Danio rerio: one gene and its partner. The protein of the gene in region 1 purifies or fractionates together with the protein of each later gene. This does not show direct contact. Links are inferred from orthologs where the notes say so. Each region holds a gene or a part of one and is shown on either strand. Other genes may lie near its edges. The genes, in order: l3mbtl3 and samd13.

The links.
Region 2: the proteins of l3mbtl3 (region 1) and samd13 purify together in Homo sapiens (affinity purification with mass spectrometry; 3 studies listed by BioGRID and IntAct, counting the BioPlex papers as one, with this or other methods). This does not show direct contact. The link is inferred for Danio rerio from reciprocal best matches to the Homo sapiens genes L3MBTL3 and SAMD13.

What each region holds. Positions count from the first base shown.
Region 1 is NC_133195.1:2,236,069-2,239,897, reverse strand, and holds part of l3mbtl3 (lethal(3)malignant brain tumor-like protein 3), read right to left. Parts: intron 3,229-3,829; coding exon 3,077-3,228; intron 2,820-3,076; coding exon 2,743-2,819; intron 1-2,742. UniProt on the Homo sapiens protein: Is a negative regulator of Notch target genes expression, required for RBPJ-mediated transcriptional repression. It recruits KDM1A to Notch-responsive elements and promotes KDM1A-mediated H3K4me demethylation.
Region 2 is NC_133186.1:8,331,999-8,336,482, reverse strand, and holds the start of samd13 (sterile alpha motif domain-containing protein 13), read right to left. Parts: upstream 2,993-4,484; 5' UTR 2,872-2,992; intron 2,173-2,871; exon of another isoform or gene 2,156-2,172; 5' UTR 1,985-2,155; intron 1,884-1,984; exon of another isoform or gene 1,881-1,883; 5' UTR 1,879-1,880; coding exon 1,841-1,878; intron 801-1,840; coding exon 689-800; intron 1-688.

The DNA of each region.
Region 1 (3,829 bases):
ACAGATCACACACACATTCAGGAGCTGGTGGAGATGAATTTATTAAATATGCACTCTTCATTTCTGTCAATTCAAATAATTATGATGGTATATCTCACTGGTTATTAAGGTCCATTGTTAAGCTGGACATTGACACAAAGTTCACAATTCAATACAGTTCACAAGATTTGATCCATTTTTGATCTCGATTTTCGAAGGTTGCGTCTGAAATCACCCACAACTCAGTGGGTTCTGCATTTGAATGTAAATGCACTACTCGGCTGCTACAAAAGTACATTCTACACTGGATGAATGTCAGTTGTATGAATTGAGCTCGGACGTTCTACATCCAGCATTTTAACATGATCACGTGACCAGTTGCATCACTTCACTCCCATTCATGAATTCTTTCATGGTGCATCATGGAATAGAGTGCACCCGATGCGCCGGAAGCAGTAGGTCATACAGGAACTTCTCAGATACTGTTTTTCCAATTCTATGAATCCAGACATACTACTCGGCTCACATACTGTTTCAGCATACTATATAGTATGGGTATGGGCGAGGCAGTGGCGCAGTAGGTAGTGCTGTCGCCTCACAGCAAGAAGGTCATTGGGTTGCTGGTTCGAACCTCAGCTCAGTTGGCGTTTCTGTGAGGAGTTTGCATGTTCTCCCTGCCTTCGCGTGGGTTTCCCCCACAGTCCAAACACATGCGGTACAGGTCAATTGGGTAGGCTATGTTAGTCTGTAGTGTATGAGTGTGTGTGTGAATGTGTGTGTGGATGTTTCCCAGAGATGGGTTGCGGCTGGAAGGGCATCCGCTGTGTAAAAACTTGCTGGATAAGTTGGTGGTCCATTCCGCTGTGGCGACCCCGGATTAATAAAGGGAAAAACTAATAAGCCGACAAGAAAATGAATGAATGAATGAATGAATATAGTATGGAAGTGTGCGATGTTGGACGCAGCTAACCTCTTAAATACACACTCTTCAGTTCTGTCTGTTCGAATTAATTATGATTCACAAAATTTGATTCAATAATAAGTCATATCAGGTACCGTACATGTATTTTACTCACATACACACACGAAAAATACGGCATACAGTTGAAGTGAGAATTATTAGCCCCCGTGTTTATTTTTTTCCCCAATTTCTGTTCAACGGAGAGCAGATTTTGTCAACACATTTCTAATCATAATAGTTTTAATAACTCATCTCTAATAACTGATTTATTTGATCTTTGCCATGATGACAGCACATAATATTTGACTGGATATTCTTCAAGACACTTCTATACAGCTTAAAGTGACATCTAGGGCTCTATTTTGAAAGTCCATGCACAAAGTCCAAAGCGCAGGGCGCAAAGGCATTAAGGGCGTGTCCGAATCCACTTTTGCTATTTAAAGTATGGGAAAATCCGCTTTGCGCCATGGCGCATGGTCTAACAGGGTTAAGCTTATTTTCTTAATGAGTTATAGGTGTATTTTATGAGAATGAACCATAGTCTCATCTCCCATCCCCTTTAAAGAGTCAGTTGGGTCGCGGCATAAGCGCATTTGGTATTTACATGGCAGACTTTGTAAACTGAACGCTTCAATGGCGAGAAAACAGTTAAACAGAGCATCTGCAGGGGAGAATAAGAGATGAGCCTCCTCATTATTTACTTTCACATTCACTTTAGTGAATAGGGAAAGGTGTTGTACGCAGACATCCATTAGCCTTTACATAATTAATTTTGTTTGTTAAGCGCAAAGATTAGTTTCAAAACTGTTTCTAAATTCAGTTCTAATTTCCAGCAAATGAATAAATGAACAATAACAACGAAGTGTGTTCAAAAACCTGAGTTATGTCCTAATACACATGCTGAGCCCCATATGGTCTAAAACCTGACAGGTGGACAAATCTAAGCTTGTTTTTTTATTAAAAACAAATATAAATATGCATATAATAAATAATACTGCTAATAATAATAACATTATACAAAAGCAAATTGTCATGAATAAACTGAAAAAGCCGCCTGAGATGAAGAAAGCATGAAGGCAGTGATTTTTATATTTATGTAGGCTAGAAAATAATATGTTTTGTAATATTTTAATCCTTTAACTCTTTTTCATATGTAAAGATATTTGCGTATTGCTGTACATCATGTCTGTATTAAGCAATGTTTAAGAGAGGCGCACAACTAACACGCTCTGCGCTGGACTATAGACCTGCTTTGATCTGGTATATTGTGCAGTCTATTATAGTTCCTTAAAATAGCAACACGCCAGCAATGCATCTAAACACACCTCCTTTATTAGACCGGAACGCCTATGGGCGCACGTATGAGCGCAAATGCATTTGCTATTTAAACAGCGTGGTGCAAAATGTCAAAACGACTCTTGCGCCAAGCTGAAACTAGCAAACAACTATTGCGTTGTGCCTTGTGCCACATTGCGCCGGGTGCATGATAGGGCCCTCAAAGTTAAAAGTTAATTAAAGTTAATTAGGCAAACAGTGGTTTGTCTAAGACAAAACAAATATTGATTAAGGGGACTATTAATATTGACCTTAAAATGTTTTTTTAATAAATTTAAAACTGATAAAAATAAAACTAATAAGACTATCGCCAGAAGAAAAAGTATTATAGGAAATACTGTGAAAAATTCCTGAATCTGTTACACATCTTTTGGGAAATATTTGAAAAAGAAATCAAATGAGGGTAGTATTTTTGACTTTAACTGAATATTAGAGAGCCTGAGACTGGTGTGGATGTGTTTACTGACCTGGAGGGGTGCTGAGGGTCCTGCCGTTCTCCTGACACCAGCCAACTGGGTGAATATAAGGACTGGTGGCATCACACCTGCACAAAAGAAGAAACACACACATGTACCTCAATACAACTAGCAAAACAACAATCAATATCTATGTCATGCAGCATAAAGTAAGGCTTTAAGCATTCTTGATACATGTATTATTAAACACACTGAGCTTTTGACTTATAATTGAAAAATAAAAAAAATAAAAAAATAAATCACAGGACAGCAAATCATTTGAGTGTGATTGTGTGCAGGAAATGTCATTATCACACACTTCAGAGCGTCGTCATGGGGAATTTACCAGTAGTCGTAACTTTCCTCCCAGTTGTCAAAGTGCACCAGGAAGCGGCTGTCCACCATGTCCGTAACCGTGGCGACGCAGATGAAAGTAGGATCTTTCCTGCAGACGGCCTCCAGCTTCATGCCAACCCTGAAACCTGATGGAGTCACCGTCTGGAGGACACACACAAACACACACTATATTAAAGTACATGAAATCTAAAAGCAACCATAATGATTCTGTTAGCTCACACTGCTAGTTTAGTGGTGAACAATTCATCTGTGCATGTCAATAAGAAAGAAAACAACAGATTGCTCTTGGAGTCTTTAATGCACTTCCTGTTTGTTGTTAGTTAAATTCTCAGATTAGGTCTGTCTGAGGTGTTGGGCGGGGCTAACATACATAACCACGCCCCTCCAGCGGTCAGTTTAGACAACACACAGAAATGGTGAACAGGAGGAGTCTGTAAGCTGTAATAACTCTCCCCAAACCCTTTTTCCAGTCTTTCTGAATGAAACGCCTACTTTACTACAGCCAATCAGCTTGCAGTAGAAAAAACAAGCCACACCCACTGTTTACTCATTTTTATATACAGTTTCTCCAGAAACTGCGTCACAGCTTCAGGTTTATGTGGACTTTAACTCTACATACAGTTGAAACCAGCAGTTTACACACACTCTAAAAAAAGGAACATAACCATTTTAAAAGATGTCTGATGGTAAATCATACTAAACGTTTACTATTTTAGATCTGTAAGGATTACCTGAATTATTT
Region 2 (4,484 bases), on another chromosome or scaffold:
CTAGACTATGTCTTCAAGGTTTTAGTAAACAATGTAACAACAGAAGAGTCAAGATATATTGATACAAGATATATACAAGATGCTAATAGATTAATTAGACTATTAGTTTTGTCTTATGCTAAGCTAAGCTAAAAGTGTTCCTGGCAGACAAACAGATCAGCTGAACAGATTTAAAAAAATGGTAAAACCCAACTGTTCAACTCTAGGGGGATGGTAAAATGGGGCTATTTTTAAAAAACGTATAGTGTTCCTTTAACAGTGGAAAATTTGGATAGCTTCATAAAACTGTTAACATATTTCAGACATCTAGCTGTCAGTTTCAAACAAAACTGTCAGTGTATGAAACACATAACCTGTGTGGCAACAGACTTGTCATTAATTATTACAAATGTTCTTAAAATGGTAGCTGTGTGGTAAAGTGTGCCAGATGTTTCAGTGTAACTGAGCCAGCGGGTCGACCAATAATAAATAACATAAACTTATTATACAGACATGTAAATGCAAGTCATGATGCGACATTAGCACAAACATTAGCGCATGATTATCACATACAGTACAATAAATACACACATTTGATCAAACTTAACTGAAAAATAATAAAGAATTTAAAGTATCCAACTTAATTATCAATAAATATACTTGCCATAAAGACTTTTGAAGATATTATGAATATGATTATGAGCTCTACCTGATCCTGGAAAGCGTTGGCTTGCTCCTCAAACCCTGTCGCTTTAAAATAATTGACCACATCCGCTACGGCCCAGTGGGCTGGATCAGTAAGCTGCCCATTCTCCACAGAACTATTTAGGAAGAGAAAAATCTTTAAATGATACCCCAATTTGATTTAATCAAAGACTGAATGCCTATACAATCCACAAGATATATGGTATGACTTTATTTGGCTTAAAATCGCAGTTATAAGCATCCCTTAAAATCCACATGAACCATTTTTTTGTATTGTGACGCAGTTCCTAATTTAACTGAACTTGATCGTGGCTTGTTTTTCTACAGCAAACTGATTGGATGTAGTAAAGTAGGCATTTCATTCTGAAAGATCAGGAAAAGTGATTTTCAGTAGAGTTATTATAACCTAACATATGTAATCTGACACATGGAAACAAAAAACTTCACACAAAAATTGTGTAAAAAGTGAAAGACCATCAAAACATTATACAGCAGCTTATGTTAAGTGGCAGAGGATGATAAAAGTAGATTTTTTGCACTGTGCTCGAATGTCTACAAATTTTTTATTTAAATTATTTAAACGTGAACAGATCAAACTTAATTTTCCCTGTTCCCTATCTTCAGAGGTTGTGAATCAGTAGGTCGTGTGCACGACTTCGGGCACTGACGAGCTTAGTGTACTATACATTTGGACACTGAGGGTCTCCAGAGGACAACCTTTTTGTACAACATCAACAACTTTTTAAAAGTACATTCTAGATAAATAATTACATTTTTCATATACTAACAACATGTTTTTCATAAATAGTCTGTGTTGTGAGAAAATGCAGCTCGTTTCATTAATTTGTTTGCTATATTTGAAAATGCAGCGAATTATTATTATTATTTTTTTTAAGTGTTTGCGATTGTAAGGATTTGCAGCACGTGTGCTGTCAAACAGATGAAGATCTTTTCTTTATTTACTGGCATTTTTTGTAATTGCATGTGTGTTCCTAAATTGCAGAATGTGTAAAGGGACAATTAAAACGAAGTGCAACAAGCCTTTCATTTAAAATCCTTAAAAAAAAAAAAAAAAAAAAACAATAACCCCCAGCATTTAAACAATAAGTATTGAAGATTTATTAGAGACTATCATAATGATATAACATAAACTTACTTTTTGGTCTCCACTGAACCATTTTCCTTGGTTTCCATGACTGCTGAATAACACACAAAAAATAAGAAAAAAAATTAATCACTTAAAAAAACAACCAATAACACCATATTTATTCATTTCAACAACAACTCGACTATCGCTCACCTGTTTGTCAGAAAGATGAGGCTGCTCTATTCCATTAAAGGTGTTCTATCCTCTTGTGCTGCTCATGCCATCTTCTTCAGTCTCCCGCTGTGCCAAACTGACCCCATTGTCAATAAACATGTATAGTAGACCTCCAAGTTTATGAATAATTGTTGTGGTAGCTGCAAAACACTAATAGACACGTATTACTACAAGGAAATTGATCAAAAACTCATTCAGTAAACTGACGTTTTTTAACAATGCAATCTATCAATTGAGTAAACCAAATTTTGAAACCACAAAAAAACCCTAGAGAATAACAAGTATTATAATCTATACTAGTACTTATTAGCTATGTTTATACAAATAAAGAACGTTATTTTAAAGTAAAAAGATTTCCACTTCGCCAAAATATTAAAACCAAAGAGAACTGCTGACATTTTAAGATGTAACTTAACGTTAAGCGGTTTGCTTCACAACGGAGCTGGTTTGACAGGTTCAGCGTCAATGAAGAAAAACACGATATACAAAATGACAGCCATCGCTAGTAACACATAGAAAAGCTGTTCAATTAATTATAAATCATCCAATATTTTTGTAAGCAAAGTTTACTTGATTTTTAATCATTTACCGTAGCTTTCGAAATACATATTTACAACAAGACTAAATGTAACTAATGACGGAAGCTGCAATCTGACAGGCTAAACAAGAGTAGCCTAAAATACAATCGAAACATAAATTTTGTATTTTACAAGTGTTTTAATGACGAATTAAATAATGTGACGATTAATAAAGCAGATGATAAACTCATTAGCTTGCTAGCTTTCATTAACTGAACATTTATTCCATTTACCGTTTTCCAAAGAAAACACAATCAACATTTTAAACAGTTTGGATGAAAATCTTACCAATTTTTTTAGATGTTTTATGTAGATGGTGTTAATATTACTGGTTGAAGATCATTGATACAATATTACGCTTTTTTCCAGTACAATCCAACAAATGCAGACGCAGGGGTTCATGGGTAATGTAGTCTAGAACGATGGGAAATGTAGTTGGTCACAAGCGTGAGCTACTCGTTTAACCTACTTCCTTACTTCCAGATTTTTGTTTTGATGAAAACTATTTTTTATTATGCAATAGAAAATAAACAAAGAGACAAAAAGGGTTAAATTGATAAAATTCCAGCAAATTAAACTAGTTTAAATAATTTACACCGAGAAAGAGTTTTACACGCAATATAATTGTTAAACTTTTTAAGGAGTTCACATATACATCAAAGTCCTCTCTAAAAATAAAAAGTAAGGGTGTTTTTTTATTTTATTTTTTGAAAATTTACATTCATGGATGTAAAATTTAGCAAAAAAGCAATAAATTAATAATAGTTCAGAGAGTAAAGAATACAAGTTTTGTTGAGGAAATACAAAATTTTGGAGATAATAATTTTTCAATGAAATTGAAATAAAAAAAGTCAACCTAAAACACTTTACAGTAAGTACACTCCAAAATAAATTATTTAGTGTTTCATCATAGTGAGTACAAAATGAGTATTTAGGGGAAATATTGTTATTAAATTTAGCTAGTTTAGTATTTATTGGATAGCAATTATCAATGATTTTGATTGAGACTTCAATAGCTTTATTAGATTTATTTATTTATTTTCCAAAGAAGCCAAAACTGTTGTTACCCAGATTGCATAATGTGGGCCACTTTAGGCAGTTATGCGGCACTGGTGGTCTTCCTTCGGCCCAGACAAAATGAATGTGAGCCCGGCCCGAAGTGACCCACCTGTACAACGGCAAAGGGGGGGCCAAAAATTCTAATTCATGTATGGGCCATTTAAGTCAAAGATTTGCCTTTTATGGCAAAATGTAATCTGAATGCGAGCCTAATGTGGCCCATGTGGAAAATGATAAATTTGGCGCAAATGATGGAGGACAAATGTGGCATAATCATTTAAGGGTAATCTGGCAGTCTAATGTGGCCCAGAGAAAATATGGCAAATGTGGCCCAGTTATTTTAAAACATATGTGGGCCAGCTTGGCAAATATTCGGCACAGTAAACTCTGGCTAATGCAGCCGTTAGTATATGGTGGCCCAGAGAAGATATGGAAAATGTTGCCCAGTTATCTTAAAACAAATTGTGTGCCACTTTTGGCAATGTTCGGCACAGTAAACTATGACTAATGTGGATTTGAGCCTATAGTTGGCCCAGAGAAGATATGGCAAATGTGGCCCAGTTATCCTAAAACAAATGTGGGCCACTTTTGGCAAATATTTTGCACAGTTAGCTCTGGCTAAAGCGGCCTATTGTCATCAACAGTTATCTAGCTATGAAAATAATCAAACAATATTATTTTCACCAGTCTTTTTATAATCTGGGGGAGAGTGAGGTAAGTTGAGGCTTTTTGCTCTCATGAGAAGGTAAAAGGAGGTAGAAGTACTTTTATTAATTAAAGCATTTAACTTGAACTTTTCAAAACTTTCATTTAAGTCACCCGGTTTCCCCCACAGTCCAAAG